Linked DNA regions of Cricetulus griseus. The protein of the gene in region 2 interacts with the protein of the main gene of each other region in a pairwise test. Links are inferred from orthologs where the notes say so. Each region holds a gene or a part of one and is shown on either strand. Other genes may lie near its edges.

Evidence for each region.
Region 1: the proteins of Ube3a (region 2) and Ubqln2 interact in a two-hybrid assay, tested with the Homo sapiens proteins (2 studies listed by BioGRID and IntAct). The link is inferred for Cricetulus griseus from reciprocal best matches to the Homo sapiens genes UBE3A and UBQLN2.
Region 3: the proteins of Ube3a (region 2) and Ywhaz interact in a two-hybrid assay, tested with the Homo sapiens proteins (2 studies listed by BioGRID and IntAct, with this or other methods). The link is inferred for Cricetulus griseus from reciprocal best matches to the Homo sapiens genes UBE3A and YWHAZ.

What each region holds. Positions count from the first base shown.
Region 1 is NC_048604.1:111,414,695-111,418,443, reverse strand, and holds the start of Ubqln2 (ubiquilin-2), read right to left. Parts: upstream 2,778-3,749; 5' UTR 2,505-2,777; coding exon 561-2,504; 3' UTR 1-560. UniProt on the Homo sapiens protein: Plays an important role in the regulation of different protein degradation mechanisms and pathways including ubiquitin-proteasome system (UPS), autophagy and the endoplasmic reticulum-associated protein degradation (ERAD) pathway.
Region 2 is NC_048596.1:138,656,689-138,660,141, forward strand, and holds part of Ube3a (ubiquitin-protein ligase E3A), read right to left. Parts: intron 2,879-3,453; coding exon 2,758-2,878; 3' UTR 1-2,757. UniProt on the Homo sapiens protein: E3 ubiquitin-protein ligase which accepts ubiquitin from an E2 ubiquitin-conjugating enzyme in the form of a thioester and transfers it to its substrates.
Region 3 is NC_048603.1:14,723,659-14,727,407, reverse strand, and holds the start of Ywhaz (14-3-3 protein zeta/delta), read right to left. Parts: upstream 2,501-3,749; 5' UTR 2,361-2,500; intron 1-2,360.

The DNA.
Region 1 (3,749 bases), on a different chromosome or scaffold from region 2:
ACAATAAGCAATATTTTACCACAAATTAGAGAGCTTCAAATAATTTGCTTCTTTTTTAATATCTCCATTCTACATTAAATTACTATCATAGGCTAATGTTTAAAATGCAAATAAACTGGACATCTGTAGGACAGAACTTGTTCACCCAACTGTGAAGGCTGATACCTGTTTCCAAAAATCACAATAAATGCAGAATAAAGAGAAGTGTTTGCATGCAACACCTTTGAGTGAAACAGCATTGATCCCCACCATTCAAATCAGAGAAGGAAGGAAATCCAAAGAAGAAAAGGAAGGAAAGAAGAAGGGAGGGAAGGAAACAAAGAGGGGAGAGGGCAGGCTGGAAGGGAAGGGAGAGAGAGGGTGGGAGGGAGGGTGGCGGGAGGAGGAGGAGCAGGAAGGGAAAGAAGGGAGGGACTCCACCTTAAAATGCATCCTTTTAGATTTATAAGTAGACAGATTTAAAAGAATCAAAATAAAAGTAAAGCACAATTTTGTGTGTTTAAAGATTTAAGAGCCATTATCAAAAATAAGATACATTTTTTCAAGGTACAGAAATGTAATTACGATGGCTGAGAGCCCAGCAGCCTCTCAATGGCCGCATTGATGTCGCCTCCTGTTGCTATTAGGGCCTGCAAGTTTGCTTCACGATTTATGAACCCCATGGCGTTGAGCTGTTCCAGTTGCTGCTGAAATCTCATTTCTGCACTCGCCATCTGGGCAGGAGTTGGTCCTGCTCCTCCTCCTGCCAGAGCCTGCACCATCTGATGAATGAACTGCGGGCTGGGTAAAGTTTCCATTGTCGGACTGATGGTATCAGTAGCTGCACAGCTGCTCACAGTGGTTGCAGGGGGGACCCCAGTGCCGGTGGATCCAGGAGAGCTTGCAGGGCCAGTGGGTCCTATAGGCCCAATAGGGCCTATGGGGGTGAAAGGAACTATAGGACCCATGGGCCCTATGGGAGTGACTGGGCCCACAGGGGTTATGGTGGTTCCCAGGACTCCCACCCCCACACCTGGAGCGAAGCTTGGAATGAGGCCAGGTGCTTCAGTGGCTAGTGTCTGTAGCCCCTGCTGGATCTGCATTAACGCTTGCATCGCTCTCGGATTTGACATGGCCGCAAGCGTGTCTGGATTCTGCATCTGCTGCAGGAAATTCGGGAGCTGTGGACGCATCTGCTCTTGCAGCTGAGGATTTGAAGCAAACAGTGGGCTACTCATCATCATCTGGGCAGCCAAATCTGGATTCTGGCTCAGCGACTGCATCATGCTTCTCATGTAGGGTGCAGACAGCATATTCTGAATCAGCTGGGGATTTTCAGTTATCTGTTGCAGCAGGTTCTGCATTCCTGGTGTACTAAAGATGCTAGCAACATAATTAGCTGCCGCCATGGTGTTCCCGAAGGTGCTACTAGAGGAGCTACCGCCAGGCATAGTGCCACTGCTTGTGGTCGTGGTGTTGGTCGGAGAGCCCTGGGTAGCTGGCGTTGGTGCCCAAGGATTGGGCAGTGGATCCCGGTTTTCTGTGCGGGAAGGCTGGGTGCCCTCCCCTGAGGAACTGCTCCCCACCGTGGCAAAGGGGTTACCCCCAAACTGCTCCTGTGCGGCATTCAGCATGGGCTCTTGAATGTCAGTGTACATGCGCCGCAGAGCATTGTAGCCACCTGGGATGCTTTCGAGATTACTGAGAGCCAGGTCTTGATTTCTCATCATCTCTTGCATCATGGCAGGATTCCTGGCGATTTCGAGAGTCTGCCTCATTATATCTGGGTTGTTCAGTAGGTGACTGATCTCTGGGTTTCTCTGGATCAGTTGTTGCATCTGCGGATTGGCCATAATGAGCTGCCTCATCAGATCAGGATTCGAAAGCATGCTCTGAACAAAGGGATTTTCCATGATCTGGATCATCATCTCAGGGCTAGCCATGAGCTGCTGCTGCATATGGTTCTGAAGCTCAGTGAAGCTGGTCGAGTTCAGACCCAGGCTGCTAAGGCTAGCAAGTCCTCCCAGGGTCCCCGACGCAAACGGATTGTTATTCGTGAGAGAAGGTGTGGAGAGACTCCTGGGAGCCGTTGTCGACGCTGGCGCCGTTGGCGCCCCTGGCGCTGTTGCGGCCGTGGTGGTGGTGGTGGTCGTGCATGTTCCCGCAGTGGTGCTAGGCTGCGTGGTGGACTGGCTCTGAGGGCGGTTCTGGTTTTTGATGACAAGGTGAACAGTCAGTCCATCATGGATGCCATGCTGCATCAAGGTATCTTGATCTTTCAAGATTTTTCCGGCAAAAATCAGCACGAGCTGATCGATTTGCGATTTGAAGCGTTTAGAAATCGCTTCCTTAAACTGCTGGACGGTGCTATTCTCGGGCACCGCGAACTCCTCTTTCTCTTTGGGGGTCTTCACAGTGACTTTGATGATTTTGGGCTCGGCTGGCTCGGTGGCCTCGCCTTGGGCCGCAGCGGCAGGGCCGCGGGAGGGGCGCGGGGGGCCGCTGCTCTCGCCGTTCTCAGCCATGGCGGCCGCGGTGACGCAGGCTGGCAGGGAAGGCGCTGGCGAGCGAGAGGGCGCGAGGGAAAGAGGAAGGAAGGAGGCGCCGCAGCAGAGGACTGGGCGGCCCCGCGAGCAGTGCGGAACACAGTACCTCGGAGATGAATGGAGGCTGCAGCTCCCGGTAGTCGGATGCGCACAGGGTTTGGCGTAGGCCGCGGCCGAGCGCTGAGCGAGCAGGTCTCCAGGCCTTCTCCGCCGCCGCCTTGTGATCTGTCCGCGCGCACTCCCAGCAACTCCTGCAGCTGCGGTGCCCGCGCTCCCGCCCCGCCCCGCCCCGGCCCGGCCCCGCCCCCTGCTGACGCGGCGCCAGCCCAGCCACAGTCGCTCGGCCGAGTGCAAAACTCCTGGCCTGCAGAGGGGGGGAAAGGAGGGAGAGAGAAATAAACAAAGAGAGGGGGAAGAGAAGGAGGCTGGAAGAGAAAGCGAGGGGACCCGGGCGAGGCGAGGCGAGGCGAGGCGAGGCGAGGAGAGGGGGAAGGGAGGAGGCCGGGAGGAGGAAGAGGGAGGCAGCTTCTTTAGCAGCCCCTGAAAGACCAATGGAGAATGTGGGTTCGCAATCTGGGAGGCAGTGAAAGGATGAAAGCCTGAATTGAACCGATCCCATGCAAAGGACGAAAAATGAATAGTAAAGAACTCTGACAAAGCAAAAAGGGAAAACGAACACCCGGATGGGGGAAGGGCAGGCATGGCGGGAGCGAGCATTTTACAAAAGAAGCGAAAAAACGGCCAGCAGGCTTCTAAAATATGATTGTGCTCGCTATTAATCAAAGGGATTCAAATAAAAACAATGAGATTTTACTTCGACTTTATCATATTTGCAAAGATGAAAGAGAATGTTAAATCTTGTTGACCAGGAGCCGAGAAAATGCACTCTCATGCTAGTTGTAGTATGAATTGTAATACGGCAGTTTGAAAATACAAATGAACATTTTGAATATTTGCACCTTTGTTTAGAAATACCTAATCGATTCAAAAAAGCATATTATGATGTATATTAATAACGTAGCATTTAAAAACAGTGTTTAGATATTTTCAATGTGTGTGTAAAACATAGAATTACTCAAACATACTACGATAGTGCCATACAATAAAATAATCCCTGTATCTAAAAGATGGTGGCTAATTCATGTAATATTAAGTGTCTCTAAAAGTGTACATCAAAATGCACTGTAGTGACGAGAAAATAATAGATGGTATTTAATATGGGTT
Region 2 (3,453 bases):
ACACACACACACACACACACACACACACACACACACACACACACACACACACACACACACACACGAGAGAGAGACAGAAAGATCTATGGTTTGATAGAATAAGAGGAGAAAAGATGAGAGAAGCAGCAAGTGAAAGTTGCTATTATTATCATATTTTACTCTGGTGGCCCTGGGAAGGGTAGAAAGGATAAAGATAGTCTTAAGCAACTAAAGGGAAGAACATCACAAAATGTAGCCTCAGAAAAACACTTCTCTCTCCAGGAGGTTATGTGGATTCTTGAGAAAAAAACTCCTTACATCAGTTTAAGTTTCAGTACAGCCACCTCACAGAAATAGGGAGTGATGCTGCCCAATTATAAGCATGTGCCACATGTTAATATGAACAAGTTCTCTGAAGCCTCATTTATAGGTTTCTTTTGATAATATATCTTCCTATACAGGGATGTATCTCCAAATAAAGCTAAGGTAATTGTAACTGGATTTGATCACACAATTAACTATAGACCACAATATATACAATCAGACACTCAATTCATTTGCTGCAGCTGCCAAGTCTCCAGAAAATTTTTGCTGCAGGCTGTGCTTTTTTTAAGCTTTAAGTTTGAAATGTTCTACAACACTAAAAGGTATACTTTTACTCATAAGATACTGTTCCTTGACATTCTAAGAAAGCAATAATGGAAAGGCAGCCATAATAACGTGGTAACATGCTGAGAAAAACTGATTATGAAGCAAATAAGAGTTTATTTTTTTCTTCTTAAAACTTTTTAGGGTATTTTTCCACTTTCTATTAAATATATTGATGTTACTTCTGTCTGATAATCTATATTATCACTTAAACTTTCACACAGATATAGTATCACAGCTACTTCAATACTGTAGCAACAATAAAACTTGAGAACTGAAGAACACAAATTTCTTCACAAATTTATTGTATAAAGTATATCCACTTAATTTGTCTTCTTATCACTTTCAAAATACATAAGAAGCTCAGTGGATGAAGAGGCCCTTTAAGATGACTATAGTCACATTTATGGGTCCTATAATCAAGGTAGCATACATACCACAACAGTGTTCTAAAGGCTATCCCAGGGGGAAAAAAAAAAAAAAAAAAAAACCACATTACCTTATCACAGTATAGAAAGCACTGTGTTCTTTTTCTCCCATTAAGGTATAGTTTTCTTTTTTTAAGCCACTGCTTTATTTAGCATTACAGTAAATAATAGTTCTGTTTTGATTACTACAAGAATGAAAAATGATTTGAAAAAAGCATTTCCAATGATTTGAAAGCTACATTTTCCCCTGCCAATTTTAAAATATAAGGTTGATTTGCACTAATTGTTAAAAGAATCAAATCACAAGCTCAACAAATTAGCTGTAGCTTGTAGTAAAATGATATACCAGTATGTCTCTCCTTAGTTAAAAATACATAATTCTTTTATTTTCTTATGCAACAAAAGAAATTAACATCACAGACATAGAAGACTAGGAATGGGAAACTACATTAAATATCCAGTAATTTAAGCCTACTTGTACTTTTCTACAGCACATGAATATTTAACACTTTTTGATGTAAAATTTAATTTGGGGGATATACAATGTAATTCTCAGGAGTAATAGTTCCATTCATTTGCAGGCCTGCTTACTGTGTGACTAAGTAACACAAGGCACAGTAGCCATCCTTTCTGTTATGCTGCAACACTGATCGAGTGCCTTGAAAAATAGCTGATTAAATAAGATGATGGCAACAGAAGGGGAGACTTTGGATTGTCTATTTAAAATCTAGGTAATAATAAAGATTCATTTTAAGAGCACTTTTACATGCTTGTTTATACAACAAACTTTGTAATTTTGTTGCAATAGGCTTGACTAACCTATCATTTGGCCAAATGCACTTTCCCCAGTAAACTTAAAACAACAAAAACAAAAACAACAACAACAAAAAATCCCTGTCCTTTCATATACTAAGAGGATTGGCTACTGAAACAGTTCATTGCAAGACACATGAAGACAACATACTGTGGCATGAGTTGTTTTAATTTGCTGTGCTGTTACTAAAGTTCTGAGGGCTGTGGTTCAAACATTCCAAGTTCTCCCTTCCATCTTTATTGATTCTCAAAATTTTGTACAGAAAACTCTTTGGGGGCTAGAACAGCAGTACTTGCACCATACTGTTTCTAAGACTTCAAGTTTCAAAAGCAAACTGATAGGGAAAAAAAGGAAAAAAAGAAAAAAGGTCCTGATTTGAGCTAGATTCAGGGACAAAAAAAGAAAAAAAAAAGAAAAGAAAAAAAAAAGCAAGAAAAAAGCACATACTTGAAGATTACATGGTCTACAAATGGTGGCAATGTTTTCCTTGCGAGAGTAGTTTTGTTGGTATATATATTTTAAATACTCAAAAAGGCTCAACCTCAAGCAGTAATAAACACAAGCAAAAGTGATTTAACCCTTAAAATAAATATTCAGAAAAACCTCTCTGTACATACAAGTGAAAGAATATGTAACACTTTCACGCAAAAAAATAATTATAATAATAATAAAGGATTTGTTCATATATGTAGCTGAAATCTGCTGTTCAGCCCACAATGTCCCCAATGAAGAAGGGAGGCACAGACATAGATGACTACTGTGGTTCACTATCTTACAGCCTTTTTGTACTGGGACACTATCACCACCAAATTATCCCTCTTACTATATTTATTATGTTTTTTTAAATGTTTTTCTTTTTTTTTTCTTTTTCTTTTTGTTTTTGCTTCTTTACAGCATGCCAAATCCTTTGGCGTATGTGATGGCCTTCAACAATCTCTCTTTAAGTTTTTCTTTGCTTGAATATTCCGGTAGTAAAAGGACATTAAAGCAAGTATGAGATGTAGGTAACCTAAATAGAGAGAAAAACAGGAAAATCATAAGTTGTAAGAAATATGCTCAGTGTGAAATACTCCTATTAGATGCTTATCTAGTTAAAATGGTTTATAATGAGAAACTACAGATTAGATAAATCATAAACAGTGTGCTGTTTAGCTACAAAGATCAGTTGGTCTTTAGCCTATAAAATAATGCTAACATGATGAAGGTGATAGTGATGACAGTAATATTTTGCATTTACTGAGTTTCTACTCTATGTTAGCTATTGCTTTAGATACTTACCTTTGTAGTTCATTTACATCTTCACACAACAAACATACCAAGATTACTAAACCCACTTAAAAGCTGAAGTCACTAAACAACTTAAAGTACAAAAACTATTCAAAACTATCATTAAAGATTTCAGAGTCTGCTCCTTTTCTTTTTTTTTCCCTTTCCCTTTCTTTCTTCTTCTTTTTTTTTTCCCAAGACTGAATAGAAATACAATTGGTGGGGCTGGACAGATGGCTCAGAGTTCAAGAGCATACGCTGCTCTTCCACAGGTCCTGAGTTCAATTCCCAGCAACCACATGGTGGCTCACCACAATC
Region 3 (3,749 bases), on a different chromosome or scaffold from region 2:
ATATTAACAGTGGCTTAGCAAATGGCAGACGCCCCCCCACCTGTTTAGGAGACCCCCAATTTCAGGTAAGATCAGAGCATATATGTGCTACTCTATCATCAAAAGCCACCTTCAAGCTGTGACACAGACCTGTCATCGCTCAGCCTGCTGTCCCTTGCTGTGTATTCCAACACACTTGTTTTCTTAAAAAGCTCAACTTAATCCCAATGCAGAGTGACCTACACTTCACCACCTTTCCCTACAGTGAGAGGGTAAGTGTGAGTGTGAGTGTGAGTGTGAGTGTGTGTGAGTGTGTGTGTGCGTGAGTGCGTTGGGGAGAACACTCCAGATCCGGACCTAGAAGGTCCATGAAGAGCACTCCACTCGCAGAACCGTGAGTCAGGCCAGCTAACCTTCAGTGTGTGCACTCTGACCCCGAGTGGATTACCTTTTACCTAGCACTTTCTCCAGCCCGATCTGCTACACTTCCTGGATGAAAACTATCTGAGGAAACTGACTGACTGATGCTTAGGATACCCTGAATATAAAACCACTAGGGATCACTCGCCCCGAGACCAGACAGACCCATCTACATGGAGTTACATGCACACTTTGCGCAGCAGGGAGCGAGCACTCAGGGCCAACCCAAGCGCAGGCGCCCCCTGCGATGTCACACTGCAGTTTAGGTGCAGACTCCCCCTGCATGGCTTTTCTCCAAGTCACCATTTATTAAGTCGGCCCTAACGTCTTCTCCGCCAATCTCCTTTGCAGTTCAAGTTCCCTAGATCCCAATTTATTTCTGATCAACTTTTTTTTTTTTTCTTTCCTTGAACGGGGTCAAGAGCACGGTTCTCAACCACAGGGATCCCAGGAAATGAATTTCCATGACAGTCACTGCCCAATGCACCGCCACCACCCAAGGCCACCATCGCACCCTTTCCTTTAACCTTTCCAGAAATCGCTTTTTTGGGGGGTGGGGAGGGGTGGTGTGGTGTGGGGAGGGAGGGGGCGTTAAATCAATGAGAAGCATCCTCAACTGAAACAAGCGCCGGGGCCTGGCTAGGCCGAGTTAACCCTTTGCGGTCTGGAAACCTCACACCAGAAACGGCCCTGGGAAGTGATGTCAGCGCGGCCCCGGCGGCCCCACCCCCGCCGACCTCAGCCGCCCGGTTCCCCGCGGGAAGCACACGAAGAACCAGCATCTACACTGCGGGAGCCCTCGCCGCACCCACTTAACCCTCGCCTGCCCGGGGCGGGCGGGCGGGCGAGCGGGGGCGAGCCGAAACCGCGCCCCAGACTTTTTAAAGCCAGCGCCAGTCCTCGCTCGCGTCCGCGCCGCCCGCAGCCACCTCCCCTTCTTGGCTCCGCCCAGGCTGGCGCCTCCGCCGGTCCCCGGCTCGCTCGCTCGCCCTCTCTCTCTCTTTGTCATGGCGGAACTGTGTCAAGGAGCCCAACCCAACCCGAGCACCGCCGAGCCGAGAGGGAGGAGCGGTCGGGTCGGGTGGGGTGGGGTGGTGGAGGTGGGGGGGAGGAGGCGGCGGCGAGCGGCTCGCCCTACCCGGAGGGGGCCCCCCGATGCCAGCCAGCGGCGCCCGCACGAGCGGAACCGACGGCGGCCGACCCGCACCGGACACACCCCGCTCTCTCCCTCCCGGGGTCCCCCCTCCCGCCCCCGACAGCTGCGGAGGAGGAGGAGGGGGATGGGAGGGGCCGGGCCCCACCCAGACCGGCGCAGCCCCCGCTCTCCCCGAAGGATGCTCACCTCCCACCCGGCCGGAGACCCCCCTGCGTCCCCGGGGCGCCCAGGCCGAGCCCCTCCCCCAACCACCCACCCACCCACCGAGTGTGCGAGCGTGCGAGCGAGTGAGCCACCGAGAGGGACCCAGGAAGCTCAGCCCCGGGTCCCCGGCGGGAGGGCAAGCGGGAGGGCGAGCCGGCCCCACCCCGGAGACTCGCTCTCTCTCGCGCGCGCGCTACCTGGCTGCCCGCGCGGCGGGGGAGGGGCGGCGGGGGCGCCACGGCGGGGTGGGGGCCGCCTCACCTGCGCCACGGCCCCGGTCCCAGCCGCGGCGGAAGCGGGTGCCGGCGGGGGCGGATGGCGCTCGCCCGCTCGCCCGAGCTTCAGCCCTACCCCCCCCAAACCCGGGAGGGTCTCGCGCGTGGGCGCCTCCTCCGCCACCCCCACCCCCGGGGACACGGGACACGGGCGGACGGGGCGACCAGCACCCCGGCAGGGCCAGCAGCAAGCGGCCCGGGGGCGGCCGTGGGCGCTCGCCCGGGGCTCGGCGGGACGAGCCGCCGCCCGGGTCCAGGATCCTTGGGGACGCCCGCCGCGGCGGGGCGGGCGAGCGGCGGAGGGGCCAGCCCGGGAGGCTGCTCACCTGTGTCCGGAGTGGGTGGCGGCACACGGACCCGGTCGGCAGTGTCCCTGGGCGGCGGCGGCGGCGAGGCTGAGACTCTGTCCCTGATCTGGCTGCTCACAGGCTACAGCGGCTCCGCAGACACGGGGTTTCCTCCAATCACTAGCCCCGGCAGCAGGGGCACCACACGCACAATGACGTCAAACGCTGCTATGGCAACCGTTGATTGGTGCCCGGCGCAACCGCCGCTCCCCCGGCGCGCGCCCGCCCCGCCCACCCGCTCGCTTGCCCGCCCGAGGCGAGCTCAGGGAGAGCGCGTCCCCGACCCTGCCTCCTCCTCCTCCTCCTCCCGCGCGCTCGGCTCGCCCCCGCCGCCCCCGCGAGCCGCCCTCCTTCCTCCTTCCCTCCTCCCTCCCGCGCCGCCCCTGCGGCCCGCGGAAGGAAGCCGCTCCCTCCCCCCTACACCTCTACTGGCGGGCACATCCGGGACCTTTCGCGTCTTCCCCCCCCCCCACCCGCCCCTCCCCCTCCCGGCCGCCCCGGTAATGACGGCGGGCTCTGCGGCCGGGGCATTGTGATCAGAGCCCCGGTTGCGGGGCGGCAGCGGGCGTGGCCGCTTGCTAGCTCGCCCGCTCGCCCACCGCTGCAGTAAAGCGGCCTTAGACCTTTTAAGGCTCGGGCGAGCCGCCCGCTGTCCCTCCTGTCGCCCCGCACAGACCGTGACAGCCAGGGAGACAATGGGGGGTCTCCGGGAGGAGAGGGGAAGGGCTTGTGCGAGCTGGGGGGACACAGGCTCACACAGCGAGCCGATCTCCGGGCGCTGCACTGTTGCCCCCCCCCCCCCACACACACACACAGCCGGGCTTTGACGGGGAGGCTCGTTGTCTCCACTTAACGCTCTCAAAGAGCCTTTTAGGTCCTGGGAGCCACCTTGGGGATACTGGCTGCTCGCTCTCGGGGCCCCCCATCTGACAGTGGGAGGGGGGCCGCTCGCCCGAGCAGGGGCGGGAGCGCCTGGGCCCGGAAGAGGGGGTAGGAAGAGGGCGGAAATTGCAGGTGCCTGCACCCGCAAGGTCTCCACCCAGCAGACGGAAGCGGAGGGAGAAGCATTCTCAGCGTGAAGCGTGTGCCCTTGCGTCCTTTAAACGTGCGTCCTGAGTTGAAGCAAACGCCTTTACCCAGCTCCTGCTGGCTGGAAAAAAGAAAAGGGGGGAAAAAGTATTCAGCCCATAGCTCTCCAGAAGATTCCACGACAAGCTGTTCTTCCCCCAACTCAGTGTCTGTCTGTCGGATACATGGTCTGGTCATAAGCTTGCTCTACAAATGATCATTTCCCTGAAATGGCAGATAGGTAGCTCGAGAGTTGCCTGTGATCGCTTTCCCCTGACCCACCCACCCCGAGTCTGCACA